4 linked regions of the Anolis sagrei genome follow. The protein of the gene in region 4 purifies or fractionates together with the protein of the main gene of each other region. This does not show direct contact. Links are inferred from orthologs where the notes say so. Each region holds a gene or a part of one and is shown on either strand. Other genes may lie near its edges.

Region 1 (7,654 bases), on a different chromosome or scaffold from region 4:
CATTCTGGAAACCCCAGTTCCAATTTGCACTGAGCCAATCAATTCACTTGGGTTCAGATACATTTCATGGACTGCCTTCAGCTTTCTTAGACAGACCTACCACACAGAGTTGTTGTGACAATGCATTAGAGACAGAGAAGAGTATTGAGCTCATTAGATGAAATATGCTTATTAGGCCTGGGTAACAACGCAAAAATTTGTTTCTAAAATCAATTTGTATTTGGGGGGTTTTTTTGTTTCGATATTTAAAATAATTACAAAATTTTCCCTTAAAAAAGTTCGGTATTTACGAAATTTCGTTAATATTTACAAAACATTTTGTAAAGATGGCGCCCTTTTTTTTCAATATTTTTTCAATATTTTTTAATTTAATTATTAATTTAGTAGAATAGGGAGGAGAAATTATTATTAAGGAGGGAAGGCAGGCACTCACTCTGGCGGGCCCTCAAGCGCTGCCGCCGAGTCGGGCCCGGCTCCTCCAAAGCAATGCGAAATTGGGAGAAGGGCTCCCCAAAGGCCATCTAGCCCAGCCCTCCGCTAAGGAATTGGGAGAACGAAGCACAGCCCTCCACTAAGGAATTGGGAGAATGAAGCACACCCACCGCAAAGGTGAGGAAGGAGGGACGGGCCGCCTTCCCGCTGAGGGTCGCTCGCCCTCTCGCTCGCCCTCTCGCTCGCCCTCTCGCTCGCTTGCTCAGCCGGTGCCTTCCCCGCCCTCTCCTCCTCCTCCTCCTCCTCCTCTTTCAGACTCTGCCTCTGACTGGCTAAGAGAGGAGAGAGAGGAGAGCTCCCAGCAAGCATCGCCAGGCCATCTTACGTATTTCCGAAATGGACGGAAATACAAATTTTTTTGGCGCCTGCCGTTTCAATATTTAAAAACACTTCCGGGTTTAAAAATAAGTTTTGTAATCGTTTTGTAATTGCTAAAATTAGCGAATATTTAACGAATTACAATATTAACGAATGAAACCGCCCAGGCCTAATGCTTATGTGTTAACTAATAAAGGCAGCCCTCTGCATCCATAGGAGTTAGGGACACAAGACCCTCGCAAAAATGAAAAACACAAATAAAAAAAGATTATGTTGTTGAAGGCTTTCATGGCCAGAATCACTGGGTTGCTGTGAGTTTTCTGGGCTACATGGCCAACTTCCAGAAGAATTTTCTCTTGATGTTTCACCCATATCAATGGCAGGCATCCTCAGAGGCTGAGGGGACCCAGCCAATGCCCTAAATCAAGAAATAGTTTTCTAAGATCTACAGAGATACTCGCAGGAACACCTCAGCAAGCGAGAGTCTAGAAGTGGCAAGCTAAAACCCAGAACCTCAAGCCATAGCTGATACCGATTGAGAGACTTCCCCCTCGGCACACAGAAGACTGGACGACTTGGAAGGCACTCAATATAAAAGCCCGGAAAACTCACAGCAACGCAAAAAACATTATATTTTTCCCCAAGAGTATACTTCCCTAAGATTCTAAAGTTCCTACAATATGACTCTATGGTAACGGTTGACCATAGACTTTTTCTGGAAGACCTAAAGATTCCTAGAGAGAACATATTAATCAAATCCATGAATAATGAAACCTGCAAAAATGACACCTGCTAGACAACTGAACAGAATAAAATAAATAAGTGTAGGCAAGGGGCCTATCTTTCATGAAAGAAGTCTCTCTGACATTTAAGGATAAGTGGTGAGGCGTTCCAATTCCACATGCATAAATTCCAAATGGATTTGAAAATGTAAACTCTTTATTTTAAAAAAAAGCAGTTTAATTATTCCCTCATCCACACCACTGCTTTCCTGCTAGAAAATAGTTCAGCAGACGTTTACCCCATTGCATTTTGTATAGCCAATGACGCGCATATTCGCAGGTGTTCTTCAGACTAAGCAGTTCATTTCCCTTGCTGTCAACCCTCCACCAGCATGCTACAACTCATTCTCAACAGAAAGTCAATACAGACTGCAAACTTTATGATATGCTAAAGGAGACTAGCCTCTCCGCTTACTACAGGGAATTGTAAGGAATATCGCTTGGTGTTAAAAGTTCTGATAAAAGTATTCCTCGGAGTTTTGTGTGAGTATCTGAATGCTTGCCAAGCAGCAAAAGACCTTCTTCCCTCCCACCAAAAAATAAAATAAAATACTGAAGCAGTACAAGTAAGTCTCAAACCAGGCTTTTAATCCCCAGAATCAAATATCTTATATCTACCCCAGTGGATCAATTATGAATGCTCACAAACTTACCAAAGAGTGACAGGATGCCACAGACAGTCCAGACCGTCAAAGATAAGCCCACACTGCCTGTGTGCTCGAGGATTCCTTTGGGAGATATAAAGATCCCTGCTCCAATGATAGTGCCAATTATAATAGATATCCCTCTCAGCAAAGTCACTTTCTTCTTCAGCACCACTTTCTCTCTCTGGGCCGCCTTGGTGTGTAAGCCAGAGGGCAATGTGCCATTTGAATGCCCCTGCAGGTAGCTGCCATTAGAGATTGTCGGCACAGGAGACTTCCTAAACATGTTTTGGTGCTGCCCACACACCAAGCTGAGAACTTTGAAAAGCTCTCTGAACAGAAAGCCACCTCGGGTCTTTCTTTCCTCTCTCCCTCCTTTTGTCTAACTAGCTAACTCCTTTAAAAACACACATACACGAACACACACCGCCTGCAGCCTTTCAACCCACTTGTGCCAACAAGTATCAAACTCTTCAAGTGTCTTTTACTTTGGACGGCTGTCTAAACACTACTCAGGAACACCTGCCCTTTCTCCCAGCCACCTTTATGCCGCTCTGTCATTGGAAGCCGGCTCAGCTTCCGCATGGTCTTGTATTTAAGCTCGCCTGTCATACCAAGTTACTCTTGCTGAATGATGATGCAAATTCTCCAGGTTTGCATCAGCCATAGGAGCAGGATCCAAATCTAGCATTACTCAGCACTTTTCCCCTTTACTACAGTAGCAGGATGTTGCACAACTTGAGAAAGGGGGAAATAAATTCCCCGTAAGCAATCCCTCGTGGCAAGGTTTACTATATTGCCACACTCCCAAACAATGATAGAATCTCAGTGAGAAACAAAACTCTCTTTTCCAACATGGGGTGGGAGCAGTGCACCTTATAAATGCTGAAATACAAAGAGGAGAAAACAGAGCAAATAAATAGTGCCATGTCTGTTTATTTTTTGTTTATTGTTATTTTAAAAATCTGCCTACACTTCAGAAAGTGCAGAAAGAAATTCAATTCCCTTAACTGTAGGGAGGTGTTATAGGTTATGTGCATTCTTTTGTTGTTGTTGTTGATAATTTGATTTGGACCACATATATTTTCACAAGAGTACATGTCAACCTTGTTGCTTTCTGTTGTTTCCTAGCAACTCAGTCAGTCTAGGCTAATAATGGCTAATTTTACATAATTTGATAATTCTTTCATGTATTTGGTGTCTATCTTTATTACTTTTTTTCTAATGGCTCCCTGAAACATGGCCCAGGTCACATCAAAATAGCTCTTAACAGTGGTATCTTACTTTAAACATTGCTAGAATTGATGCATAGGGCACAAAGCTACTGGTGAGATTATTTGCCTCATAGAATCATAGACTTGAGAAGGATAGTTTTGTCGTGCAGGCATGAGCGAACTTTAGCCCTCGGTATTTTGAACTTCAACTCCCACAATTCCTAACAGCCAGTTAAACTGGCTGGGATTTCTGAGAGTTGAAGTCCAAAACACCTGGAGGGCCAAAGTTTGCCCATGCCTGGACTCTATTGCAAAGCCCCGTCATGCAGGAATACACAACTAAAACACTACTGTAAACTGGCTATTCAACTTCTATTTAAAGATCACCAAAGTCAACTGATCTCCCTGGAAATCTATTCCAGTGTCCAACAGCTGTTAACAAAGTTCTTCCTAATGTTCTCTTTTCTTATAATTTCAATTCATTGGTTTGTATCCTAGTCTGTGAAGCAAACTAAATTAATTTTCTTTTATCTTCAATATGACATTATTTCATATATTTAAATATATTCATATATCATATATATTCATATATCATGTTACCTCTCCTCTTCTCCAAGCTAAACATACCCAGCTCCTCAAGCTGATTTTCATGGGTCTTTGTTTCCAGGTCTTTTACCTTTTGGTCATGTTTTAGCTTGTCAATATTCTCCTTGAACTTTGATACCCAGAATATATGTGGCAAAATAATTTGGCTATCTTTAGGATCTATATGCCCTGTAGGCATGGCAGAGAGCAATATTTGCTGTTCCGCATCAGGCAGTCAAAATAGAGGACACTCAAGGTGATCATTAGAAAACCGTGAGGTGCCTCCCCTGGCCTGCATTTGACCATATCTTGATCAGGAGGAGAGACAATTTGTATTGTATCCAGAAATCAGAACACTCCCAAAGTTCAATTACCATAGTTTAATTTCCTGTGCTTAAGTTGCATCATTTGGTGCATTCTCTAATAGGTCATTGTGAGCTCTTATGAGTCATATATGCTTAAAGGCAAGTATGAATGTCAGCCTTCTTGACAGTGTTCCTTAGAGATATGCATATTAGTGCAATACAATGCATACTCTGCATTTCAGCCTGTATGTGAAGGCTATTCACAGTTGCTGGGTGAAAGAATAAAAAGAAATATTCCCAAAGTAGTTGCCTAAAGTGGCTAATCTATACAGAAGAACAAACAGTCCCCAAAATATTGATGTCTGGAACATGAAGCTATCACAAGGTCTGCAGAGGAACAGGAAGAACAAGAAGGAGGTCTCCCTCCCCCTCCTCTCTCTCTCTCTCTCCTGGCTTGTTCCACGCAGGAGTCCTTCATTGGAAATTCTGCAGAAAGACTTCTACGTGTAAAGAAATATCTATTAAAATGGTGGTTTTCGACCGTGTTACTCCATTTAAATTAATCCTGTCTAGGAGAGTGAAAGAAATCCTCATTAACCAGGGAAATGTTTTTCTTTTCTTTCTATAGAAACACTAAGTTGCCAATCAGGATTAACCTGGAATACTAAGTACTGATCATTAAAGAGAACGCAGGCACTGTGCCTACTGACTTTAGGCTGAAATTCCTTCAAAGAATCTCTCTTTCTGCAAGTGTATCTTGTTAATGTCAAAGAAATGCCAGGCCCTGTAAAGGGTATTAACATTAGAGTACTAATTAATTCATTATACTGGCAGATTACTTAATTCACCACAATAATCAAGCATAATGTTTAGCCATACTCTGCTTTGATAGTACATTTCAGCAGGAGAAATGATAGAGATGAAAATGGAATGGAGGGAAAGGAATGAAGGACTCCACATAATAATTTGGAAGTAAGTGATCTTGTGTAAATCCAGTTTGCTAATGTTTACATGTTTTGAGTTTCATATTTCATTATCTTTCTTTCTCCCTTGTTTATTTACATTTTAGGGCTCTTTCAGATGTATCAGAAGCTGGAGTTTTTGTTGCTCTACTTCTAGGACTCTTGGACTATTTTCTGACACATTTGTCACCAGCTGTGGTATTTTAATCCCCATCTTCAAACCTCAGTTAACTCATCTTTTGCTATTGATGTGCAAACCCCATCAATAGCTCCCAATCCCAGGACATTCTCATCACCTAGCTTGGTGCAATGGGTCCACCTGACTTCTATGCCAACATGGCAGCAGTAAAATGATGACAGGGGAGTAATTTTCCCCCTCTCCCTTCACTATTCTCAGGCTGTCTGTTTTCTATGTACAGTATTTGATATTTTACAGCTATGTTTGCAAAATTCCCTCATTTTTTAAAAAAAATACAGAACAGGAGAAAGGAGAAAGGCAGCATTACAAGGGTAATGGTACCTTTACAAAGGTAAAGGTTTCCCCTTGACATTAAGTTGAGTTGAGCCCAAATCGGAGTGGTGGTGCTCATCTCCATTTCTAACTGTCGTTAAATAAATAAATAAATAAATAAGCCGAAGAGCCAGCATTGTCTGTAGACACCTCCAAGGTCATGCGGCTGGCATGACTGCATGGAGCAATGTTATCTTCCTGCTGAAGTGGTACCTATAGATCTACTCACATTTGCATGTTTTTGAACTGCAAGGTTGGCAGAAGCTTGAGTTAACAACGGGAGCTCACCCCGTACACGGATTTATATGGCCAACCTTCCAATCAGCAAGTTCTGCAGTTTAACGGTTTAAGAGCTGAAAAAAGCGGTATAGAAATAAAGTAAATAAATAAATAAATAACACACTGCGCCACCACAGCTCCTACAAGAGTGTGTAGAAGTTGTCAAATTGGTGCAATTCCACAAATGAAAAGAAGTGTAATGTAGAAGGTATCTATCCCAGTATGTATCTATCATCAATGTCAGTGTAACTGCTATGGAATAGCAACTTTGTACAACCAAGTCCCATATTCCCTTCTTGTTTTTATGTATTGTGTGTAGAATTATATTACTATAGTTCATTTATGAAATACAATTTAGAACTATTACTTTATAACTTAAAATTATTTTAATTTCAAAGAGGAGAAAATTTGCCCTTGAAACCCCACAGAATCACATCATTAAATTGTACCCTGATTTTTAAAAAAAACCTTGGAATCATTATAATAACGTGCTACAAGCAGTTCCTTGAAAATAATGTAGTGAATGGACATAGAACTAAAATCTTAAAAACTATGTCACAAGAACTCAAGCTCCTATAGAGCTTTCCAGATGGTCCCTCCATTTCAATTCAGAGTGGGAAAATATCAAAACCAGTTAACAAGTAAACCAACTTCACTTTATATCATCATCATCATTGTCATCTTATACTACAATTAAAAGCAGCTTTACAAGCATCTGGAGGTGAGGGCTGGTTTGGAAATGTCTTGCAATATGCTCGGGGATACTTTGGAGTACAGGTGTCTTTCCTTCTGTAGTGGTTTGATGCTAGCAATTTCACTGTTATGTTGCCTTATAATTCACACCACAAATTAAAGATCAGCCTCATAGTAAATCTTTCCCATTAGATTGTGCATGGATAATATTTTTTGCTTAGAGCATTCCCATCATTTCTTCCCATGTATGTTTGGAAAGAGGGAAAGACTAGAGATGGCAGAGGAAAGTCACTGACTAGAGGTGGAAAGAAATGAATTAAAAATAACATTGTCGTTGTTACTGTTGTTTGCCATCAAGCAAGTCCATCTTGTGGCAATCCTATGTGTGAGCACTTCCCAAGATCAACTATCCAGCTCAAGTCTTAGAAACTCAGGATATGGCTTAACCAAATTAATTCAATTTGTAGTGTGGTGTACCTCAGTTTCTACTGCTTTCCACTTTACTAAGCATTGCTGCCTTTTCCAATGAGTCATGACATCTTATGATATGTCCAAATTATGATTGCCCCGATTTAGTCAGTTTGAGCTGTCTTTCTTTTTCAATGTTTTTTAAAAAGTTTTTTTATCATGTCAGGAACGACTTGAGAAACTGCAAGTCACTTCTGGTATGAGAGAATTGGCCGTCTGCAAGGACCTTGCCCAGGGAACGCCCGGATGATTTGATGTTTTCATTATCCTTGTGGGAGGCTTCTCTCTTGACCCCGCATGAGGAGCTGGAGCTGATAGAGGGAGGTCATCCGCCTCTCCCCAGATTTGAGCCTGCGACCTGTCGGTCTTCAGTCCTGCCGGCACAGGGATTTAACCCACTG
Region 2 (7,204 bases), on a different chromosome or scaffold from region 4:
ACACCCTGATGGGTTCGACATTGGGAGAATAGAAGGCGCATAAACACACACAAAGGTTTTGACTCTCCTTTAAGAGAGGAAATCAGGATATAAATATGTACAATAATAACAAGGAAAAGGAGAAGGGGGAAGTAGACGACATCTTGTTCTTGAAGTATGCAGAAGCAGTATTGTTTGAAAGTGAAGCAGGTTTCCAATCCTAACCATCATCAATATTCTTGTATATGGTAATTTTCTTGGGTTCGGGGGGAGGGGAGGCCTCAGGATCTACCCTAGCAAACCTTTTGTATCGTTACCTCAATACCCCCATGCATATGGGATATATTGAGCATGGTGATTAGATCATGATATGAATAAACATAACAGTTTAAATAATGTAGCAGTAAGGCCTTTTCGCGAACTACGATGAGAATTTCGGGGGGGGGGGGCTGAAGCCCCTCAAGCCCCCCCCCCCCCCCCGGGCTACATACCTGCACACAGTATATGTTAACTGGACTTCTAGTGTAGTTTGAATGCTAAAGCAAGACTCCAAAGCCCCTTCTACACTGCAATATAATCCAGATTGTCAAAGCTGATAATCAAAGGTATCTTTCCACATATATAACATCTCAGCCCCCTTCCACATTGCCACATAATCCACCTTTTCAAAGCAGATAATCCACATTATCAGTTTTAAATTGGACTGTATGAGTTTACACTGCCATATAATCCAGTTCAAAGCAGACAATCTGAATTTTATATGGCAATATAGAAGGGGCCTCAGACTTTTAACACTTTCAACTTCAGAGAAGACTATGATTGGACTCTGGACTTCCATGTCAGGGCCCTTCCACACAGCGCTATAGCCCAGAATATCAAGGCAGAAAATCCCACAATATCTACTTTGAACTGGGTTATCTGAGTCCACACTCAAGATAATACGGAATTTTCTGCCATGACATTCTGGAATATAAGGCTGTGTGGGCCTTCAATTTGGCATTGGCAAATTGATACACGACCGAGGATATTTGTATTTTTACATCCATTTATTTGATATTCCAGTTTCCCCCTCAGTACTAGAATAAAGTTAAAACAAAGAACAATCTGAACAAACTATTAATAGAAACATAAAAAATAAATGTGTTGAGGAATAATTTCCGTTTCAAAAACACAAGTTTAAAATCTTTTAAAAAACAGATTCAAACATAATGAAACACACACACACACATACAGCACTCACCGCGTGGAAAGCTCCATCTGCAGCAACAAGTAAAAAACAAAACACAACAAAAGGCCTGATTAAATAAAATAGTAAAAAAAATATATTGGAAAAACAAAGAGAAATCTGCCTGTAGAGATTTGGGAACAATCATAGAGAAGGCTTTCACACCTGGTTTCCCAGACCATGATGATTTATTATATATTTATTATATATTTATTATTATTTACAAGCTGTCCCCTGCCATGTGTTGCTGTGGCCCAGTCTGTGTATATGTGTTTTGTGTGTGTACATGAATGTGTATATGTGTGTTGTGTGTGTGCGTGTGTGTGAGGGTTTGTGCATAAGTTGTAACGTAATTTTTGGTTTTTTTGGATTTTTAAGCCCTTTCTGTTGTGTTTTTCAGAATTATTATGAGTGATGGGCACTCGTTGGCCTGATAGGTGTCTTGTGTCCAAATTTGGTGTCAATTCGTCCAGTGGTTTTTGAGTTATGTTAACCCCACAAACGAATATTACATTTTTATTTATATAGATTGTATTTCTCGACCAGCCTTTTCATCCAGTGACCTCAGGGCAGTATAAGTCAGTTCTCCTTCTAGTACCTGACACAGGGGATTGGCAGTGGTAGCAATGTAGGGCAAAGATCTGTCCGCACTAGCAGTAACTGGGTGCATCTTAACTGCAAAATGAATTAGTTTTACCCCACTTTTACTGCCACACTCAATGTTGTGGAATCCTGAGAGTTGTTGTTTAGAGGGACACTAGGGCCCCTTCTACACTGTCATATAAAATCCAAATTATTTGATTTGAAGTGGATTACATGGTAGTGTAGACTCATATAATCTGGCTGAGAAATGTATAGTTTGACACTTGGGCAATAAAAATGAAATGGACAGCTCATATAGGATGTGTGGCACCTGGCTTGAATACAGTACACGTGAAAGGAATCTAGGAGCCTGAGGAGCCTTCTATACTTTGTATTAGTCTACACTGCCATATAATCCAGTTCAAAGCAGATAATGTGGATTTTTAAGGAAAGTGTAGGTGCCTGCCATAGATGCAGGCAAAACTTCAGGAGAGACTGCTTCTAGAACATGGCCATACAGCCCGAAAAACCTACAACAACCCAGTGATTCCGGCCATGAAAGCCTTCGACAGTACAAAGGTGATTCTACTTGAACATTAGGAATAACTTCCTGTGAGAGAGCTGATCAGCAGTGGAACTCTCTGTCTCAGTGTTTAATAGAGTCTCCAAGTCCTGGAGGCTTTTACAGAGGCTGCCGGGAGTGCTTTGATTGTGGAAGAACGGGATTGGATTGGGTGGCCTTTGGGGCCTCTCCCGACTCTATAGAAGTCCAGGATTTCCAAGCGCAACACACACACTCTGGCTGCAAATGACTGAAGGATTCTATTTGAACATTAGGAAGAACTTCTTGTGAGAGCTGTTCAGCAGTGGAACTCTCTGCCTCAGGGTTGTAATGGAGTCTCCAAGTCCTGGAGGCTTTTAAAGAGGATGGATGGCCATCTGTCGGGGGTGCTTTGGTTGTGGAAGAACAGGGTTGGATTGGGTGGCCTTTGGGACCGCTCCTGACTCTATAGGAGTCCAGCATTTCCAAGCACAACACACACACACTGGCTGCAAATGACCGAAGGATTCTATTTGAACATTAGGAAGAACTTCCTGTGTGAGAGCTGTTCAGCAGTGGAACTCTCTGCCTCAGGGTTGTAATGGAATCTCCAGGTCCTGGAGGCTTTTAAAGAAGATGGATGGTCATCTGCTGGGAGTGCTTTGATTGTGGAAGAACGGGGTTGGACTGGGTGGCCTTTGAGACTGCTCCTGACTCTATAGGAGTCCAGGATTTCCAAGTACAACCACACACACTCTGGCCGCAAATGACAGAAGGATTCTTCTTGAACATTAGAAAGAAATTCCGGTGTGAGAGCTGTTCAGCAATGGAACTCTCTACCTCAGGGTGTAATGGAGTCTCCAAGTCCTGGAGGCTTTTAAAGAGCATGGAAGGCCATCTGCCAGGGGTGCTTTGATTGTGGAAGAACACGGTTGGACTAGGTGCCCTTTGGGGCCACTCCTAATTCTATAAGAGTCCAGGATTTCTAAGCACAACACACACACACTCTGGCTGCAAATGACCGAAGGATTCTACTTGAACATTAGGAAGAACTTCCTGTGAAAGAGCTGTTCAGCAGTGGAACTCTCTGCCTCAGGGTTGTAATGGAATCTCCAGGTCCTGGAGGCTTTTAAAGAAGATGGATGGTCATCTGCTAGGAGTGCTTTGATTGTGGAAGAACAGGGTTGGACTAGGTGCCCTTTGGGGCCACTCCTAATTCTATAAGAGTCCAGGATTTCTAAGCACAACACACACACACTCTGGCTGCAAATGACCGAAGGATTCTACTTGAACATTAGGAAGAACTTCCTGTGAGAGAGCTGTTCAGCAGTGGAACTCTCTGCCTCAGGGTTGTAATGGAATCTCCAGGTCCTGGAGGCTTTTAAAGAGGCTGGATGGCCATCTGCTGGGGATGCTTTGATTGTGGAAAAACAAGGTTGGACTAGGTGCCTTTGGGGCCTCTCCTGAATCTATAGGAGTCCAAGATTTCCAAATACAACACACACACACACACTGGCTGCAAATGACTGAAGGATTCTATTTGAACATAAGGAAGAACTTCCTGTGAGAGAGCTGTTCAGCAGTGGAACTCTCTGCCTCAGGGTTTAATAGTTTCCAAGTCCTGGAGGCTTTTAAAGAGGAGGGATGGCCATCTGCCGGGAATGCTTTGATTGTGGAAGAAGGGGGTTGGACTGGGTGGCCTTTGGGTTCAGGATTTCCAAGGACAACACACACACGAGCTACTACTGCTGCCTTTGGCTGCAAATGACCAAAGGATTCTATTTGAACATTAGGAAGAACTTCCTGTGTGAGAGCTTTTCAGCAGTGGAACTCTCTGCCTCAGGGTGTAATGGAGTCCCCAAGTCCTGGAAGCTTTTAAAGAGGCTGGATGGCCATCTGCCGGGAGTGCTTTGATTGTGGAAGAACGGGGTTGGACTGGGTGGCCTTTGGGGCCTCTCCCAAGGAGTCCAGGATTTCCAAGCACAACACACACACGAGCTGCTGCTGCTGCCTCTGGCTGCACATGACCGAAGGCGAGGTGGGTGAGTGTATGCCTGGGAGGACGAGAAGGGAGACTTTCCCTTTGGGGGGAAGGCTGCAAACTTAGGCCGGGAGAGAGAGGAAAGGAAAGGGGTTCCTGGGTTCCCTTGGGCAGCCAACTCTTTGTCCTTGACCAGCAAAGCGGGGGAAGGTAAAAAAAAAAGAGAGAGAGAGTGAGAAAGAGCAGAGCGCGTGCGCGCGCACTAAAGCCGACAAAGCAGCAGCACCAGCGGGGGCGCGCGCTCCAGCCTGGGAGAGCGCGCGCGCCGTCCTTTTCCCTTTTCTCTCTCTCTCTCCCTGCGTTTGGAACTTTGCTGACTGCAACGTTCTGAATCCGAAAGTAGGGGGCGGAGGCGAGAGAACGTTCGATTTGCCCCCCCCCCCTCCCTTTGGAGGAGAAAGAGAGAGAGAGAGAGGAAAAAAAGGGGAGCGCTCCGCAGCGCCACCGTCCGGCCATCGCGTGTATTGCACCTCCCCTTTTTTTCTCTCTCCCTTTCTCCCTCTCCTTCTCTCTCTCTCTCTCCCACCCCCCTTCTCTCCGGCTCTCAATGATCCACACTGCCCGGCCACAGAGCCGCCTCCTCCTCCTTCTCCGCCGCCCGATTGCCCCCCTCCCAAGCTGCTGCTGCTGCTGCCTCTCCTGCTTCTCCTCCTCCTCCTCCTCGTAGCCCCTTCCCAGCCCCCAAGGACACAACGCTCTCCCTTCCCTTCCCTTCCCTCCCCCCTTCCCTCCCTCCCCTCCTCCTCCTCCTCCGAGTGAACGTCGGGACAGGACGGCTGCCAAGGTAAAAAAAGGAGACACGGGTTAGGACAAGCAGGGAAAGGGGGGAGGGAAGGAAGGGAGAAGGGGAGGGAGGAGGGGAAGGGGGGTGGTCGTGGAAAAGAGAGCTTTGTTCTGGCTGCCTGGCCCCACTCGAGTTCACGCCTCACTTGGTGGCACACACACACACACACAACACACGCGCGGAGTGGACGGATCCGGGTGGGAGAAGCTTCCTTCCTGCCATTACAGCAGAGAGAGAGGAGGAAGAAGAAGAGGAGGAGGAAGAGGAGGAAGAGGAGGAGGAGGACGACTCTGTGTTGAAGGCAACACACACACACACACACAGAGGAGGGCAAAGCTGCCCCTGCTGCAATTCCTGATCAGGATCTACCTCCTCTTCCTCCTCTTCCTTCTCCCTCTTTCTCTTTTTTGGGAATGATCTAATCCCAATATTTCAACCCCCCCTCTCTTGCATGTGATCCTTCCTGGAGGAATCCCCATTTATTTATTTTTTAGGGGGCAAAAAGATGTCTGTCTGTTTTGTAGAAACTGATCCAGAGTCGGTGGTGGCGTTGAAAGCTTTCCAGAAGGTGCTTCTTCTTCTTTTCCTTCTTTGCTTCCTCCCTTCGCCAAACCTTCTCCTCAGTTGGGCCCATTCTTCTTCCCCTTCCTTCCTTCTTTCCCCAAACCTTCTCTCCAGTTGGGCCCAAACATTAGGGTGAAAATTGAGAGGCAGTGGGTTTGTTGGGATCTGTGTCCCCCCTCCCCCCCCCTTTGTATATATGTTCTCATTACTATAAATATAAGTGTGTTGTTGGGGCCCGGGGAGCAAAGAGGAAGGGGCTCTTAACCTAGTGTCTCTAAGGTAAATATTATTCAGGGCAGAGAGAGAGCCTATTTTGGGGTCAGTCTCGGTTGTTTACAACCCTGTTGTCCTAAGTTGCTGTGAGTTTTTCTGTGCTGGATGGCCATGTTCCAGAAGCATTCTCTCCTGACGTTTCGCCCACCTCTGTGGCAGGCATCCTCAGAGGTTGTGAGGTCTGTTCGAAACTGCAGGGTGACAGAAAGATATATGCATTTTCCAGGCTGTCTGGCTATGTTCCAGAAGCATTCTCTCCTGATGTTTCACCCACATCTATGGCAAGCATCCTCAGAGGCTGTGAGGTCTGTTTGAAACTAGGCAAGTGGGGTTTGTATATCTGTGCAAGGTGAGAGAAAGATATATGAGTTTTCCAGGCTGTCTGGCTATGTCCCAGAAGCATTCTCTCCTGATGTTTCGCTCACCTCTATGGCAGGCATCCTCAAAGCCTGTGAGGTCTGTTGAAAACTAGGAAAATTGGGTATATATATCTGTGGAATAATGTCCAAGGTGGGAAAAAGAACCCTTGTCTGCTTGAGGCAAGTGTAAATGTTTTCTGAATGTTGTTCTTTATTTAGAGTTGTTTAAATACTGGTAGCCAGATTTTGTTCCCCAGGTAGGAAGCACCCAGGCTTGGAAGTTGAAAGGCCATTCGAAGCTAATCAAGGTGGCCAATGGCAACATTCACACTTGCCTCAATGTAAATGTTTTCTGAGTGTTCTTCTGTATTTAGTGTCCTGATTTTAGAGGTTTTTTTAATACTAGTATCCAGATTTTGTTCCCCAGGCAGGAAGCAGCCAGGCTTTGAAGCTGCAAGACCATTAAAAGCTAATCAAAGTGGCCAATGGCAACATTCACATTTGCCTCAAGCAGACAATAACAACAACAACAACAACGCATTATTCTTTGATACATCACACAGTCCTAGACACTTGGGAAGTTTCCGATGTGTGATCCAATGCAACAGCCAGCAGAGTGATCTTATCTGCTGTGGACTCATCTTGTTGTGCTTCAAATAATAATAATAACTTCATTTTTATACCCGGCTAAGAGTTCTTCCTCCCACCCTGGACCTTCCACAGATATATAAACCTCACTTGCCTAGTTTCCAACAGACTTCACAACCTCCGAGGATGCCTGCCATAGATTTGGGCAAAATGTCAGGAGAGAATGCTTCTGGAACATGGCCATACAGCCTGGAAAACTCACAGCCAC
Region 3 (7,979 bases), on a different chromosome or scaffold from region 4:
ACCCTTCCTTGTCTCCTTCCTTCCCTCTTTCACTTTTTTATTTCATTCTCTCCCTCCTTCTCTCCTTCCTTCCTTCCTTCCTTCTCTCCTTCCCTTTCTCTCCCTCCTTCTCTCTTTCCTTCCTTCTCTATTCTTCTTTTTTCCTTCCTTCTCTCCCCTCCTTCTCTCCCTCTTTCTCTCCCTCCTTCCTCTCTGCCTTTCTTTCTTTCCTTCCCTCCTTCGTCTCTCCCTCCTTCCTTTCTTCTCTACCCTTCTTTACTTCCTTCTCTCCCTCCTTCTTTCTTTCCTTCCTGCCTTCTTTCTGTGTGTATGCATATATGTGTGTATATATGTGTGTTTGTGTATATATATGTGGTTTTGCGTATGCATTGTAATGTATTTTTTGGCTTTTTAAAGTCCCTTCTGCTGTGTTTTTCAGTGTTTTTATGAGTGATGGTCACTTGTTGGCCTGAGAGGTGTCTTGTGTCCAAATCTGGTGTCAGTTTCCCCAGTGGCTTTTGAGTTATGTTAATCCCACAAACGAACATTACATTTTTATTTATATAGATTAGCATAGCACAATATTAGTGTTATATAGGAGCCCCCGGTGGTGCATTGGGTTAAACCCCTGTGCCGGCAGGACTGAAGACGGACAGGTCGCAGGTTCGAATCCAGGGAGAGGCGGATGAGCTCCCTCTATCAGCTCCAGCTCCTCATACGGGGACATGAGAGAAGCCTCCCACAAGGATGATAAAACATCAAATCATCCTTGCAGGCGGCCAATTCTCTCACACCAGAAGCGACTTGCGGTTTCTCAAGTCGCTCCTGACAGAACAAAAAAAAAGTGTTCTATAGTACTATATTGTTGCTAGGGGGAAGGAGATGGAAGAATCAGAGCTGGAAGTCACCACATCTAGCCCACCCCACGCCATGCAGGAAAAGAACAATCAAAGCAGCCCCGACAGATGGCCATCCAGCTTCTGCTTCAAAACTTCCAGAGATCTGGGTGCCCTCCTCCCTGCTCTTCGCCTTTAGGCGCCTCCCTTCCACTGATAAAAATAGGCTTGACTGATGAAAAGGACCAAGGAGATGGGGGAAGGAGCAGCCGCCATGGCGCCCCCTTCCCTTCTTTCCGGGTGAGAGGAAGCAGCGCCTCTATGATACACTGCAAAAGCCTTCTCTCCGGCCGCAGAGCTCGAGACAGGGAGGCCTCCGCGCGCTTGCTGATTGGCGGGGATCCCTGCAAGCTCGCGGGCCGGGCGTCGCCCTCCTGGGCTTCCCTCCAGCCTCTGCTGCGGCCCCAGCACCCCCCTCGCCCAAAAGGGGGCGCCCCGCCAAGAGGACCCTCGGGCCCTGGCCTCACCTGGCTCCCATGGTAGCCAAAGTCACTCCGCTCCGGCTGGCCATCCTGCCATTGCTATGGCAACCAGGGGAGGGGGCGGCCCCCTCGCCGGGTTGGGACCGCCCCCCTCCTCCGCCTTCCCGCCCCTGGAGCCTCCGCGAGGCACTGGGCGGCGCGTGCGCACAACGCCTGCTCCTCATTGGGCGCAGCCAGAGCGGGGTGAGGGAGAAAACAAAGCCACGCATCAACTTGCAAAGAGCGTGACGTCGGCCTTCTCCTCAGACCTGGGCCCAGGGCTCTTCAACATCTTTCTCTACCAGGGTTGATTGAAAAGTAATGCCTCCACCTTCGTTACTTGGGTTTGGATGGGAATATTTTAATAAATCAAACGCAGAAATAATCCTTACAATGTGCTCTTAAACTACCACTATTCACTTTGCCACATAATCACCAGACAATTGGATACGTTTCTGCCAACGATGAACAAGTTTTCTGAAGCCTTCACAGAACAAGTCGACACTGTTTCCGCAACCAGCGTCAGCATCCTGGGTACCCATCGTGCACAGATCTTCCGAAATGCCAATTATGCTTGAAATTCCAACTGACCACCTTTATTAGCCATCAAATGCTAATCAAGTTGGTCAGTTGAAACATTCACACCTAGTTCCAGCAGACAAGAGTTCTTTGTCCCACCCTGGTCATTCCACAGATATATAAACCCATTTTCCTAGTTCCAACAGACCTCACTACCTCTGAGGATGCTTGTCATAGATGCAGGTGAAACGTCAGGAGAGAATGCCTCTAGAACATGGCCATATATCCCGAAAAAACCAACAACCCAACAAAAATAGTGTTGCAAAAATTCTGAGAGTGCCTTGGACTGCAAAAAGATCCAACCAGTCCATCCTCCAGGAAATAAAGTCCAACTGCTCACTGGAGGGAAGGATATTAGAGGCAAATATTAAGTACTTTGGCCACATCATGAGAAGAAAGGAAAGCTTAGAGAAGAAAATGATGCTGGGGGAAATGGAGGGAAAAAGGAAGAGGGGCCGAGTAAGCGTTTACAGATGAAAAATCTCAGGGAGGTATTCACTCGAGTCAGATTTGATCAGCTCGAGACAATGGTTAGATTGTCAAATGGACAATGTATTGGGAATCTCACATCAGAACAACATATTTTATGTGTGGTCAAGACCCAAAAATAACATACAAAACAGCTCTGTACTTAAGCAAAACAATACGTCTGAGAACCACATATTTAGGGCTGATTGGGGTAAGTTGTAGGGGTGATAATGAAATATGATGTATATACTCAGCTTGATCAGTTTATCAGTTTTATCATGTCTTATCATATTTATTTACTGTATCGTTATAAGTGTCTTATTTTAACTTACTACGTGGAGTGTGATCGGGTCTTATCAGACCTTGTTGTTCTGTTTCTTATTGTGATATGGCCTAAGGGTTAATCAATAAAATTACTACTACTACAGATGAAAAATGGAAAGACTGGACGACGTGACTGGACACTGTTTGAACAAGGAGACTCTAATTATATATGTTTTTAATTGATATTGATTGTTTTTACTTCTTTTATATTTATATTAATGTTTTAATTGTACTTTTTGGTATTGGTACTGACTGTAAACCGCCCTGAGTTGCCTGTGGGCTGAGAGGGGTGGTATATAAATCTAGTAAATAAATAAATAAATATATTATTATACTGTACTATACTACTGGGGGCCCCTAGTGGCACAGCGTGTGTGTGTATGTGTGTGTTTGTATGTATGTATGTATATCTATCTTGTAAGCCGCTCTGATTTCCCTTCGTGGTGAGAAGGGCGTCATATAAATGTTGTAAATAAATAATATTATATTACTAGTGGTACCTGCCACGCATTGCTGTGGCCAACCTTCCCTTTTTCCCTCCTTCCTTCACTCCCTCTTTCCTTCTTTCCTGTCTTTCCTTCTCTTCTTCCTTCCTTCTCTATCTATTTCCTTCCTTCCCCCTTTTTCTTTCTCTTCTGCTCTTTTCTTCCTCCTCTCTTTCCTTCCCTCCCTCTTTCTCTACATCTTCCCCCCTTCCTTCGCTCCCTCTTTCCTTCCTTCTTTCTTTCCTTCTCTCCTTCCTTTCTTCTCTAACTTTCCTTCCTTTCCCCTTTTTCTTTTCCTCCCTTTCTTCCTTCTCTACCTCTTTCCTTCCTTTTCTCTTTGCTTATATGCTTCCTTCTCCCTTTCCTTCTTCCCTCCCTTTCTTTCTTTCTTTCTTTTCTCCCCTTCCCTCCTCTTTCTTCCTTTTTTTCTGTATTGTCATTTAGCTTTTCGTCATTTAGCTTTTTAAGTCCCTTCTGCTGTTTTTTTATGAGTGAAGGACATACATTGGGTTGTTAGGTGTATCATGTCCAAATTTGGTGTCAATTCCCCCAGTGATTTTTGAATTCTGTTAACCCCACAAACGAACATTACTTTTTATTTATATAGACTAGCCGTCCCCTGCCACACGTTGCTGTGGCCCACATGGGGGTTCTGTGTGGGAGGTTTGGCCCAATTCTATCGTTGGTGGGGTTCAGAATACTCTGTGATTGTAGGTGAACTATAAATCCCAGCAACTACACCTCCCAAATGTCAAGATTCTATTTTCTCCAAACTCCACCCGTGTTCACATTTGGGCATACTGAGTATCCGTGTAGAGTTTGGTCCAGATCCATTATTGTTTGAGTCCACAATGCTCTCTGGATGTAGGTGAACTAGAACTCCCAAACTCAAGGACAATGCCCACCAAACCCTTCCAGTATTTTTTGTTGGTCATAGGAATTCTGTGTGCCAAGTTTGGTTCCATTCCATCGTTGGTGGAGTTCAGAATGCTCTTTGATTGTAGGTGAACTATAAATCCCAGCAACTACAACTCGCAAATGACAAAATCAAAAAAATTTGAGTGAAGGACATACATTAGGTTGTTAGGTGTCTTGCATCCAAATTTGGTGTCAATTCCCCCAGTGCTTTTTGAGTTCAGTTAATCCCACAAACGAACATTATATTTTGATTTATATAGATCATATTATATTGTATTATATCATAAGTATAAATATTATATTATTATAAAATATTGTATTATTAAGTATAAATATTATTTTACAACATTATTAATATCTCTGTTTTGGTGATTCCGTTTATTTCTGGAACTGCAGGACAGTTAACTGTCAACATAAATCCTAAACGCCCCAGATGGCGTCTGATCCTGCAAAGTCAGCAGGGCCAGCTCTTGAATGGGACGCCGCTGACAAATGCCAGCTGTTGCAGGCAGCATTTCAGAGGAAGAAACTGGCAAAACCACATTGGAGGATGAAAACCCTTTGGGACTTCAACTCCCAGAATCCCTTATCCTGGGTCAGAGCAGCTGAGGCTTCTGGGAGTTGGAGTCCCTTCCAAACCGTGGAGAGCCAGAGCTGGGGAATGACTGTGGCAGGTGAGGGCACCCATATACAAACTCAAAACACCTATCCTGACGCATGTGTACACATACACAGCAAGTCTGCCTCCGAAAGAGATGCGCCTGGGCCGCTGCTCCTACCGTTCGCTCTCCTTCCTCACAGGCTCCGCCCCCTGCGCTCTAATTGGCCCGGCGCCGTCACGTGGCGTCGAACGTCCTTGTTGGGCGCCAAATTCAAACAACCCAAGAGGCGGAAGACGGCGGTACCGACCGCCTGAGGGACTGGCGGCTGGCTCGCCACGTTCTCCCTTCAAGGCGGGGGAGAACGGGGCTTGCAGCCAGTCCCCGCCGCTCCAGCCCCAAGAACAGGTGAGAGAGGCGAGGATGGGGTCAAGAGGCCGGGGAAGGGACCAGTCCTTTAGGTTTGGTGGGAGAGAGCTTAGTGTGGAGGGAGGGCGGGATACACAGATTACACTATGCAACACTAATTTTGTTGGGTTGTTGTAGGTTTTTTCAGGCTATATGGCCATGTTCTAGAGGCATTCTCTCCTGACGTTTCGCCTGCATCTATGGCAAGCATCTTCAGAGGTAGTGAGGTCTGTTGGAATTAGGGAAAAGGATTTATATCTGTGGAATGACCAGGGTGGGACAAAGGACTCTTGTTTCCTGGAGCTAGGTGTGAATGTTTCAACTGACCACCTTGATTAGCATTTGATTGCCTGGCAGTGCCTGGGGCAATCTTTTGTTGAGAGGTGATTACATGTCCCATATTGTTTCCTCTCTGTTGTTTTGCTGTTGTAATTGTAGAGTTTTTTCAATACTGGTAGCCAGACTATTTGGAATAATCATAACCTTTTGGAAAGGCATGACCTTGATAGAGATCGTAACCATTTTGTAAAGTATGATCTTCCCAAGAAGAGTTACAAACTCACCTGAGTCAATCTTCTCCTTAGTGCAGTGGTTCTCAACCTGTGGGTCCTCAGATGTTTCAGCCTTCAATTCCCAGAAATCCTAACAGTTGGGTAAACTGGCTGGGATTTCTGGCAGGCCAAAACACCTGGGGACCCACAGGTTGAGAACCACTACCTTAGTGGTAAATTACTAGTATTTATACAAGGCAGTTTAGGCTTCTCAGCTGTTAGACTGATATACTTGGCTATCTCTTTGAACCGCTAGGAACAAAGAAATGCCAATGCATAAAATATGTAGCAGATCTTCAGAAGTGTTATTTCTGTTGCACAAAAATATATAATCTACTCTCCCATAAAATATATTGTTTTAAAATCATGTTCTTAAGAGACCAAAAAAATAAGTAGTCTTCGTTAAAAGTTAACATCGTTGATATACTTACAAGCTTTGTGTATTTAGCAAGAAGGTACATTGCTTATTGAAACAGATGTCAACTGAATTAAACTTAAAACTGTACTACACTGTACTATACTTCAACTCACTGTACTATACATCTGCTGCAAACAGACTCATATATTAACTGACATCTCACTGCAGCATACGGACTCTACTCCTGCTCTAACTGACTTTGTTCATTTCCATGGTTTCTTCCTTTCTGTTGAAATTGTCCACATGCTTGTGGATTTCAGTGGCTTCTCTGTGTAGTCTAACATGGTGGTTGTGAGAGTGGTCCAGCATTTCTGTGTTCTCAAATAAAATGCTGTGTCCAGATTGGTTCATCAGGTGCTCTGCTATGGCTGACTTCTCTGGTTGAAGTAACCTGCCTTGCCTTTCATGTTCCTTGATTCGTGTTTGGGCAATGATGCGTTTGGTGGTCCTTGTGTAGACTTGTCCACAGCTGCATGATATACGGTAGACTCCTGCAGAAGTGAGAGGATCCTTCTTGTCCTTTGCTGAACGTAGCATTTGTTGGATTTTCTGTAGATGGTTTCTATAGTGTGTTTCCTCATCAGCTTCCCTATGTGGTCAGTGGTTCCCTTGATGTATGGGAAGAACACTTTATATCTGGGTGAATCTTTGTCTTGACTCTCGTGGCTTGTTCTTGGTCTTGCAGACCGTGCAAAAAGAATCTGTGAACCCCACCTCCTCCAAGGTGAACTGAACCACCTAAACTGTGCTCTACAGGCCAATGGATACTCCACCTCAGACATCAGAATAGCTGCAAGACCGAGAACAAGCCACTGATAAGCTTGATCAGTATATCAGTTTTATCCCGTCTTATCATATTTATTTACTGTATTGTTATAAGTGTCTTATTTTAACTTACTATGTGGAGTGTGATCAGGTCTTGCCAGGCCTTGTTGTTCTGTTTCTTATTGTGATATGGCCTGAGGGCTGATCAATAAAATTACTACTACTACTATGTATATCTATACACAAGTCAGTCTGTCTGTACCACAAAGGCTGTTGCTAGGGTTTGTTTGTGTGTGTGTGTGTGTGTGTGTGTGTGCGTGTGTGTGCCAGGAGCAACTTGAGAAACTGCAAGTCGCTTCTGGTGTGAGAGAATTGTCCACCTGCAAGGACGTTGCCCAGGGAATGCTTGGATGTTTTGATGTTTTACCATCTTTGTGGGAGGCTTCTCTTATGTCCACACATGAGGAGCTGGAGCTGAAATAGGGAGCTCAACCCGCTCTCTTGAGATTCGAACCGCTGACATATGGTACAAGGGTTTAAGCTGTTGCTAGGTGAAGTAGCCCTTTGTGATTCGCTGGGAAAGAAAGGAGACCTGTGTTGGAGAGAGGGAGGAAAGAGCCACCAAGCATTTCCATGGAGACATTGTAAGACAGGCCCTTTCAGAGCTGCAGAAGGGAGGAATGGAGAAGGAAAGGAGGGGAGGGGGCGAGGGAAGAAAGGAAAAGAGGAAAGGTATGAAGAGAGGGAAGAAAAGACAGAAAGAGAAGGAGTGAAAGCAATGGGCCCTCCAACACCTGGGCAATATTGGGTATATACTTTAGTATGAAATGTAAGTGAATTTCATGCCAAGATATCTCCTTAAGCATTTACTGATATATGCAAACACTTGTGTTCAAAAACCCCAAATCCCAAACATTTCTGGTCCCAGTATTTAGAAGAATGGGATATTCCATTATGTAGGCTTGTCTGAAGTGGGCAGTGTGTTACTCATTGCGCCTGTGAAAAACCATCCCTCTTTGCTTGACTCTGCAAGGAAGAATTTGGTGTCTGTGTCTTTCAAGAAGTTGCAAGAGACTCAAGTGTTTTCTACAATGTGAATCCCTCTTCACAATTTTATAGGCAACAGGA
Region 4 (7,993 bases):
GAAAGAGGAAGGAAAGATGGAAGGAAGGAAAGAAAAGGGAGGGAAGGAGAAAGAGGGAGAGAGGGAAGGAGGGAGGGGAGAGGAAAGGGAGGAATGACAAAGGGGAAGGAAGGAAGGAGAAAGAGGGAAAGGGAAGGAGGAAGGAAAGATGGAAGGAAGGAAAGAAAAGGGAGGGAAGGAGAAAGAGGGAGAGAGGGAAGGAGGGAGGGGAGAGGAAAGGGAGGAACGACAAAGGGGAAGGAAGGAAGGAGAAAGAGGGAAAGGGAAGGAGGAAGGAAAGATGGAAGGAAGGAAAGAAAAGGGAGGGAAGGAGAAAGAGGGAGAGAGGGAAGGAGGGAGGGGAGAGGAAAGGGAGGAATGACAAAGGGGAAGGAAGGAAGGAGAAAGAGGGAAAGGGAAGGAGGAAGGAAAGATGGAAGGAAGGAAAGAAAAGGGAGGGAAGGAGAAAGAGGGAGAGAGGGAAGGAGGGAGGGAAGAGGAAAGGGAGGAATGACAAAGGGGGAGGAAGGAAGTAAGGAAGGAAGGAAGGAAGGAGAAAGAGGGAAAGGGAAAGAGGGAGGAAAGATAGAAGGAAAGAAAAGTGAGGGAAGGAGAAAGAGGGAGAGAGGGAAGGAAAGATAAAGGAAGGAAAGACAAAAGGGAGGGAAGGATGAAAGGGTGGAAGGGAAGGAAGGAAGAGTAGGAAGGAAAGAGAAAAGGAAGGAAGGAGGAAAAGGTGGGAGAGACTAGAGGGAGGGGAAGGAGGAATGGGAAGGAAAGACAAAAGAGAAAGAGAAGGATGAAAGGGTGGAAGGGAAGGAAGTAGGGAGGGAGAAAGAGGGAGGTAAGGAATGGAGGGAGGGAAAGAGGAAGGAAGGATGGGGAAAGGGAAAAAAAGAGTGCGGAAAGAAAGATGGAAAGAAGGATGAAAGGGTGGAAGTGAATGGAGGGAAGAAGGGAGGAAGGAAGGTTTTCCCTGTCATAGGCAGTAAGAGCACCTAGAGCTTTGGAGGGTTTCTGTTCTACCATCTCAAAGCTCCCTGCTTGAGCGGTGATGGCACGATCATCAGCATAGATGAAGCTCTCTGTCCCTTCTGGCAGTGGCTGGTCATTTGTGTAGATGTTGAACATGGATGGAGCAAGCACGCTCCCCTGAGGCAGGCCGTTCTTCTGTTTCCGCCATCTGCTTCTCTGGTCCTGGAACTCAACAAAGAAGCTCCTGTTTTGTAGCAGGTTTCCATTGAGGCGGGTGAGGTGGTCGTCCTTTGTGATATTATACATTTTTCTCAAGAGGAGGCAGTGGTTCACAGTCTCATAATCCGCTGACAGGTCTATGAAGACAGCTCCTGTGATCTGCTGCCTTTCAAAGCCATCTTCTCTGTGCTGAGTCGGGTTCAGCACTTGCGATGTGCAGCTTTTGCCTTTTCTGAAGCCAGCTTGCTGTGGAATCAGACAGGGGTCTATTTGTTCCATAGCATTGAGTCAATTGGCCAAGAAAGAGTTTAACTGCTATTATTTGAATACTATGGGAGCTGTAGTTTTGCAAAGGGCCAATCATTCCCATTGCATTGAGTCAATGCCAAACTGTATTCACCTTACAATTGGCCAAGAAAGAGTTTAACTGCTATGCTTGAATGCTATGGGAGTAGTAGTTTTGCAAAGGGCCAATCATTCCCATTGCATTGAGTCAATGCCAAACTGCATTCACCTTATAATTGGCCAAGAAAGAGTTTGACTGCTATGCTTGAATGCTATGGGAGTTGTAGTTTTGCAAAGGGCCAATCATTCCCATTGCATTTGAGTCAATGCCAAACTGTATTCACCTTATAATTGGCCAAGAAAGAGTTTGACTGCTATGCTTGAATGCTATGGGAGTTGTAGTTTTGCAAAGGGCCAATCATTCCCATTGCATTTGAGTCAATGCCAAACTGCATTCACCTTATAATTGGCCAAGAAAGAGTTTGACTGCTATGCTTGAATGCTATGGGAGTTGTAGTTTTGCAAAGGGCCAATCATTCCCATTGCATTGAGTCAATGCCAAACTGTATTCATCTTATAATTCGCCAAGAAAGGGTTTGACTGCTATGTTTGAATGCTATGGGAGATGTAGTTTTGCAAAGGGACAATATTTCCCATTGCATTGAGTCAATGCCAAACTGTATTCACCTTATAATTGGCCAAGAAAGAGTTTAACTGCTATTATTTGAATGCTATGGGAGTTGTAGTTTTGCAAAGGGCCAATCGTTCCCATTGCCAAACTGCATTCATCTTATAATTGGCAGAGAAAGAGTTTAACTGCTATGCTTGAATGCTATGGGAGTTATAGTTTTGCAAAGGGCCAATCATTCCCATTGCATTGAGTCAATGCCAAACTGCATTCACCTTATAATTGGCCAAGAAAGAGTTTGACTGCTATGCTTGAATGCTATGGGAGTTGTAGTTTTGCAAAGGGCCAATCATTCCCATTGCCAAATTGTATTCATCTTATAATTGGCCATAAAAAAGAGTTTAACTGCTATGCTTGAATGCTATGGGAGTTGTAGTTTGGGTTGACTGATTGGTTTGTGTTGATCATTAATGCATCATTGGAGCAGGGTTTTTTTCCATCTCGACTAAAACAGGCTGTGTTCCGACCACTCCTGAAAAAGGTCTCCCTTGACTCCACGGTGCTGAACAATTACAGACCAATCTCCAACCTCCCTTTTTTGGGCAAGGTGCTGGAGCGGGTGGTCGCTTCCCAGCTCCAGGGTTTTCTGGGATTGGTCTCGAGGGCACGGTTTTGTCGTGGCTCTGGTCCTTCCTGAGCCACGGTCCTTCCTGGAGGGTCGATCCCAGTTGGTGAAGCTGGGAGACGCCTGCTCGGACCCCTGGCCTTTGACTTGTGGGGTCCCGCAAGGCTCCATTCTGTCTCCCATGCTTTTTAACATCTACATGAAACCGCTGGGAGAGATCATCCGGAGTTTTGGAGTTAGGTGCCACCTCTACGCAGATGACACACAACTCTACTACTCATTTCCACCTAACTCCAAGGAAGCCCCTCGAGTGCTAGACGAGTGCTTGGCCGCTGTGGCTGTCTGGATGAGGAGGAACAAGCTGAAGATCAATCCCGACAAGACAGAGGTCCTCCTGGTCGATCGCAAACCGGACTGGGGTATAGGGTGGCAACCTGAGCTGGACGGGGTTACACTCCCCCTGAAGTCACAGGTCCGCAGTCTGGGTGTCCTCCTGGACTCATCACTTACGCTTGAGGCTCAGGAGTCGGCGGTGTCCGGGAGGGCCTTTGCACAATTGAGACTCGTGCGCCAACTGCGACCATACCTCGTAAAGGCTGATCTGGCCGGAGTGGTCCATGCCTTGGTCACCTCTAGATTGGACTACTGTAATGCACTCTACGTGGGGCTGCCCTTGAAAACGGCTCGGAAATTCCAACTGGTGCAACGGTCGGTGGCCAGGATGTTAACTGGTGCTCCTTACAGAGAGAAGTCAACCCTCCTGTTTAAGGAGCTCCATTGGCTGCCGTTTATTTTCCGGAACCAATTCAAGGTGCAAGTGCTCACCTACAAAGCCCTGAACGGTTTGGGACCTGGCTACCTGCGTGATATGAACGCACACGATCCCTCCGTTCATCTGGAGAGGCCCTGCTCACACTCCCATCTGCGTCGCAAGCGCGTTTAGTGGGGACGAGGGACAGGGCCTTCTCCGTGGTGGCCCTCCAGACTCCATATCTGAACCCACACGTTCCCTCCGTTCATCTGGAGAGGCCCTGCTCACGCTCCCACCTGCGTCGCAAGCGCATTTGGTGGGGACGAGGGACAGGGCCTTCTCCGTGGTGGCCCCCCAGACTCCATATCTGAACCCACACGTTTCCTCCGTTCATCTGGAGAGGCCCTGCTCACGATCTCCCACCTGCGTCGCAAGCGCACTTGGTGGGGACGAGGGACAGGGCCTTCTCTGTGGTGGCCCTCCAGACTCCATATCTGAACCCACACGTTTCCTCTGTTCATCTGGAGAGGCCCTGCTCACGATCCCACCTGCGTCGCAAGCGCGCTTGGTGGGGACGAGGGACAGGGCCTTCTCTGTGGTGGCCCCCCAGACTCCATATCTGAACCCACATGTTCCCTCCGTTCATCTGGAGAGGCCCTGCTCACGATCCCACCTGCGTTGCAAGCGCGCTTGGTGGGGACGAGGGACAGGGCCTTCTCTGTGGTGGCCCCCCAGACTCCATATCTGAACCCACACGTTCCCTCCGTTCATCTGGAGAGGCCCTGCTCACGATCCCACCTGCCTCGCAAGCGCGCTTGGTGGGGACGAAGGACAGGGCCTTCTCTGTGGTGGCCCCCCAGACTCCATATGTGAACCCACATGTTCCCGCTGTTCATCTGGAGAGGCCCTGCTCACGATCTCCCACCTGCGTCGCAAGCGCGTTTGGTGGGGACGAGGGACAGGGCCTTCTCTGTGGTGGCCATCCAGACTCCATATCTGAACCCACACGTTCCCTCCGTTCATCTGGAGAGGCCCTGCTCACGATCTCCCACCTGCGTCGCAAGCGCGTTTGGTGGGGACGAGGGACAGGGCCTTCTCTGTGGTGGCCCCCCAGACTCCATATCTGAACCCACACGTTCCCTCCGTTCATCTGGAGAGGCCCTGCTCACGCTCCCCCCTGCATCGCAAGCGCGCTTGGTGGGGACGAGGGACAGGGCCTTCTCCGTGGTGGCCCCCCAACTTTGGAACTCTCTCCCCAAGGACATCAGACAAGCCCCAACGTTGGCAGTCTTTAGGAAGAGCTTGAAGACCTGGCTGTTCCAGTGTGCCTTTCCAGAATAGGAAACTCCCAGCACCATGTCCCAAACGCGCTTTGTTAGAGATTTAAGAAAAAAGCTGGTCCAGGGAAGTGACGTCACGGCCTGGAAGGCACGCGGCTTGTGTTGTGATGACGTCACAGCGGGAGGCCTACCAAAGAGAAGCGCAGGCGAGAGAGAGGGAGAGAGGAGCGCTTCCGGTTTGCCCACTATGCCACCCGGAAGCGCTTGCTTTCCAGGGCTGTGAGGAGGGGAAGATGGCGGCGGAGGAGCCTCAGCAGCAGCCGGAGCCCCTTGGTGGGGACACGGACGGTAATGGGAGACCTCAGGGGGCACAAAGGGGGACTCACCTCCGGGAATGGAGAGCTCGGGCCTCCGAGGGAGCGACTGCCTCCCTTTCCTGGCCTCGAATGGGCCCTTTACTTTTTCCAATGGAGCCCCCGGTTGGACTAGGCCTCGCCGTTGCCTTGCCCCGGCAACCAGGGGGGCGTGGGAGGGGCGCCCCCGTCTCCATGGAAACGGAGGAGCAGAAAGGGCCTTGTAACTTTGGGCTTCAGAAGAGAATGCTGAAGGAAGGAAGGAAGGAAGGGAAGAAGGGAGGAAGGAAGGGAGGAGGGACAGGCTTCCATATTGGGAATATTACTATTATTATTATTATTATTATTATTATTATGGTCTCCTTGCAAATTGGAGGTTCTAAACTGCTTTAATACTACACTAGGTCTGGGCCAACTAAGGCCTTCCAGATGTTTTGGACTTCAACTTCCAGCATTCCTAGCAGCCTCAGGCCCCTTCCCTTGGACTTCAACTCCCAGCATTCCTAGCAGCCTCAGGCCCCTTCCCTTGGACTTCAACTCCTACCATTCCTAGCAGACTCAGGCCCCTTCCCTTGGACTTCAACTCCCAGCATTCCTAGCAGACTCAGGCCCCTTTCCTTAGACTTCAACTCCCAGCATTCCTAGCAGCCTCAGGCCCCTTCCCTTGGACTTCAGCTCCCACCATTCCTAGCAGCCTCGGGCCCCTTCCTTTTCCCACTGAACTCATACCATTTCTAACAGTCTCAGGCCCCTTCCCTTGGACTTCAACTCCCAGCATTCCTAGCAGCCTCAGGCCCCTTTCTTTACCCTCTCACCTCCTACCAGGCCCCTTCCTTTTCCCACTGAACTCATACCATTCCTAACAGCCTCGGGCCCCTTCCTTTCCCCCCTGAACTCATATCATTCCTAGCTGGGAGTTGAAGTCCAATGGAAGGGGCCTGAGTCTGCTAGGAATGGTAGGAGTTGAAGTCCAAGGGAAGGGGTCTGAGGTTGCTAGGAATGCTGGGAGTGGAAATCCAAGGGAAGGGGCCTGAGGCTGTTAGGAATGGTAGGAGGTGAGAGGGTAAAGAAAGGGGCCTGAGGCTGTTAGGAATGGTGGGAGTTGGAGTCGAAGGGAAGGGGCTTGTGGCTGTTAGGAATGTTAGGAGTTCTGGGGGAAAAGGAAGGGGCCTGAGGCTGTTAGGAATGCTGGGAGTTGAGAGGGGAAAGGAAAGGGCCTGAGGCTGATAGGAATGCTGGGAGTTGAAGTCCAAGGGAAGGGGCCTGAGGCTGTTAGGAATGGTAGGAGTTGAGGGGGGAAAGGAAGGGGCCTGAGGATGCTAGGAATGCTGGGAGTTGGAGTCCAAGGGAAGGGGCTTGAGTCTGCTAGGAATGGTATGAGTTCAGGGGGAAAAGGAAAGGGCCTTAGCCTGTTAAGAATGGTGGGAGTTGAAGTCCCAAGGGAAGGGGCCTGAGGCTGCTAGGAATGAGGAGTTGAAGTCCAAGGGAAGGGACCTGAGTCTGCTAGGAATGCTGGGAGTTGAAGTCCAAGGGAAGGGGTCTGAGTCTGCTAGGAATGAGGAGTTGAAGTCCAAGGGAAGGGGGCTGAGGCTGCTAGGAATGGTGGGAGTTGAAGTCCAAGGGAAGACCTAAGTCTGCTAGGAATAATGGGAGTTGAAGTCCAAGGGAAGGGGTCTGAGTCTGCTAGGAATCGTAGGAGTTAAAGTCCAAGGGAAGGGGCCTGAGTCTGCTAGGAATGGTGGGAGTTGAAGTCCAAGGGAAGGGTGCCTGAGGCTGCCAGGAATGGTGGGAGTTGAAGTCCAAATACCCAGAGGGCCCAAGTTAGTCCAGGTCTGTTTTTAACCCCATTTGAAAACAACTTTACGAAGGCACAACTTTGCTAGGAGATAATGAGGTTGATTGGATGTCATGGCTGTTCTTCTGAAGGAAAGATAACCATGGTTTGTGCTGTGGAAATACCTCTGTTGCCGCCAGTGGGTGCAATCGTAGTTAAAATGTTGTTATTCTTGCATTTCGACCCAGCAGCGATTCCTAACCTTTGATTCTACAGGAGTTTGGTACTCCCAGAAGCACCAGCCCATGGTGATCCGCATCTTGTCACATTATGAATCGATTACTGCAATGTGTTCTACATGGGGTTGCCTTTGAAGACTGTTTGGAAGCTTAAATTGGTCCAATGGGCGGCTGCCAGTCTGCTACCGAGCACAATTCAAAGTGCTGGGTTTAGCCCATCTTACTTGTCTGAATGTATCTCCCCCTATGAACCAATTCAGAGATTAATATTGTCTGGGAAGGCCCTGGTCTCGGTCCCGCCTGCATCACAAGCACGAGTGGTGGGGATGATAAACAGGGCCTTCTCAGTGGTGGCCCCTCCCTAGTGACATTAGATCAGCTCCCTCCCCTTCTAGCCTTCAGAAAGAAAGTCAAAACCTGGCTCTGCGATCAAGCTTTCAGAGAATAGTTCAATTCAATAATAGACCTGGAATATGTACAACAAACAAATAACAAATCAGAATAGTGGATAAAACAATCTCAATATATTATCGAAGGCTTTCATGGCCGGAATCACTGGGTTGTTGTAGGTTTTTCCGGGCTATATGGCCATGTTCTGGAGGCAATTTTGGAGGCAAAAAATTGCCTCCAGAACATGGCCATATAGCCCGGAAAAACCTACAACAACCCAATCTCAATATAAAATTATAAAACTAATTGGAAAAATAACTTAAAATTAAACTTAAATAAACAACACATCACACAACAGTTACCACATGATGAACTCTTAAAATTTAGACTTAAAAGGCATTAAAAGCTGAGATGGTTTACAGCAGGCATGGGTAAACTTCGGCCCTCCAGGTGTTTTGAACTTCAACTCCCATAATTTCTCACAGCCTACCGCTG

What was found.
Region 1: the proteins of OTUB1 (region 4) and SLC7A11 purify together in Homo sapiens (affinity purification with western blotting; 5 studies listed by BioGRID, with this or other methods). This does not show direct contact. The link is inferred for Anolis sagrei from reciprocal best matches to the Homo sapiens genes OTUB1 and SLC7A11.
Region 2: the proteins of OTUB1 (region 4) and UBE2E3 purify together in Homo sapiens (affinity purification with mass spectrometry; 3 studies listed by BioGRID and IntAct, counting the BioPlex papers as one, with this or other methods). This does not show direct contact. The link is inferred for Anolis sagrei from reciprocal best matches to the Homo sapiens genes OTUB1 and UBE2E3.
Region 3: the proteins of OTUB1 (region 4) and FOXM1 purify together in Homo sapiens (affinity purification with western blotting; 4 studies listed by BioGRID, with this or other methods). This does not show direct contact. The link is inferred for Anolis sagrei from reciprocal best matches to the Homo sapiens genes OTUB1 and FOXM1.

What each region holds. Positions count from the first base shown.
Region 1 is NC_090025.1:44,305,101-44,312,754, forward strand, and holds the start of SLC7A11 (cystine/glutamate transporter), read right to left. Parts: upstream 3,016-7,654; 5' UTR 2,523-3,015; coding exon 2,246-2,522; intron 1-2,245. UniProt on the Homo sapiens protein: Heterodimer with SLC3A2, that functions as an antiporter by mediating the exchange of extracellular anionic L-cystine and intracellular L-glutamate across the cellular plasma membrane.
Region 2 is NC_090021.1:188,322,172-188,329,375, reverse strand, and holds the start of UBE2E3 (ubiquitin-conjugating enzyme E2 E3), read left to right. Parts: upstream 1-4,200; 5' UTR 4,201-4,215; coding exon 4,216-4,365; exon of another isoform or gene 4,366-4,369; intron 4,370-4,839; exon of another isoform or gene 4,840-5,152; intron 5,153-5,260; exon of another isoform or gene 5,261-5,657; coding exon of another isoform or gene 5,658-5,720; intron 5,721-7,204. UniProt on the Homo sapiens protein: Accepts ubiquitin from the E1 complex and catalyzes its covalent attachment to other proteins. In vitro catalyzes 'Lys-11'- and 'Lys-48'-, as well as 'Lys-63'-linked polyubiquitination.
Region 3 is NC_090025.1:104,604,152-104,612,130, forward strand, and holds the start of FOXM1 (forkhead box protein M1), read left to right. Parts: upstream 1-4,972; 5' UTR 4,973-5,117; intron 5,118-7,979. Other genes in the region: TULP3 (tubby-related protein 3), read right to left, coding at 1,343-1,386. UniProt on the Homo sapiens protein: Transcription factor regulating the expression of cell cycle genes essential for DNA replication and mitosis. Plays a role in the control of cell proliferation. Also plays a role in DNA break repair, participating in the DNA damage checkpoint response.
Region 4 is NC_090032.1:15,294,763-15,302,755, forward strand, and holds the start of OTUB1 (ubiquitin thioesterase OTUB1), read left to right. Parts: upstream 1-4,978; 5' UTR 4,979-5,035; coding exon 5,036-5,090; intron 5,091-7,993. UniProt on the Homo sapiens protein: Hydrolase that can specifically remove 'Lys-48'-linked conjugated ubiquitin from proteins and plays an important regulatory role at the level of protein turnover by preventing degradation.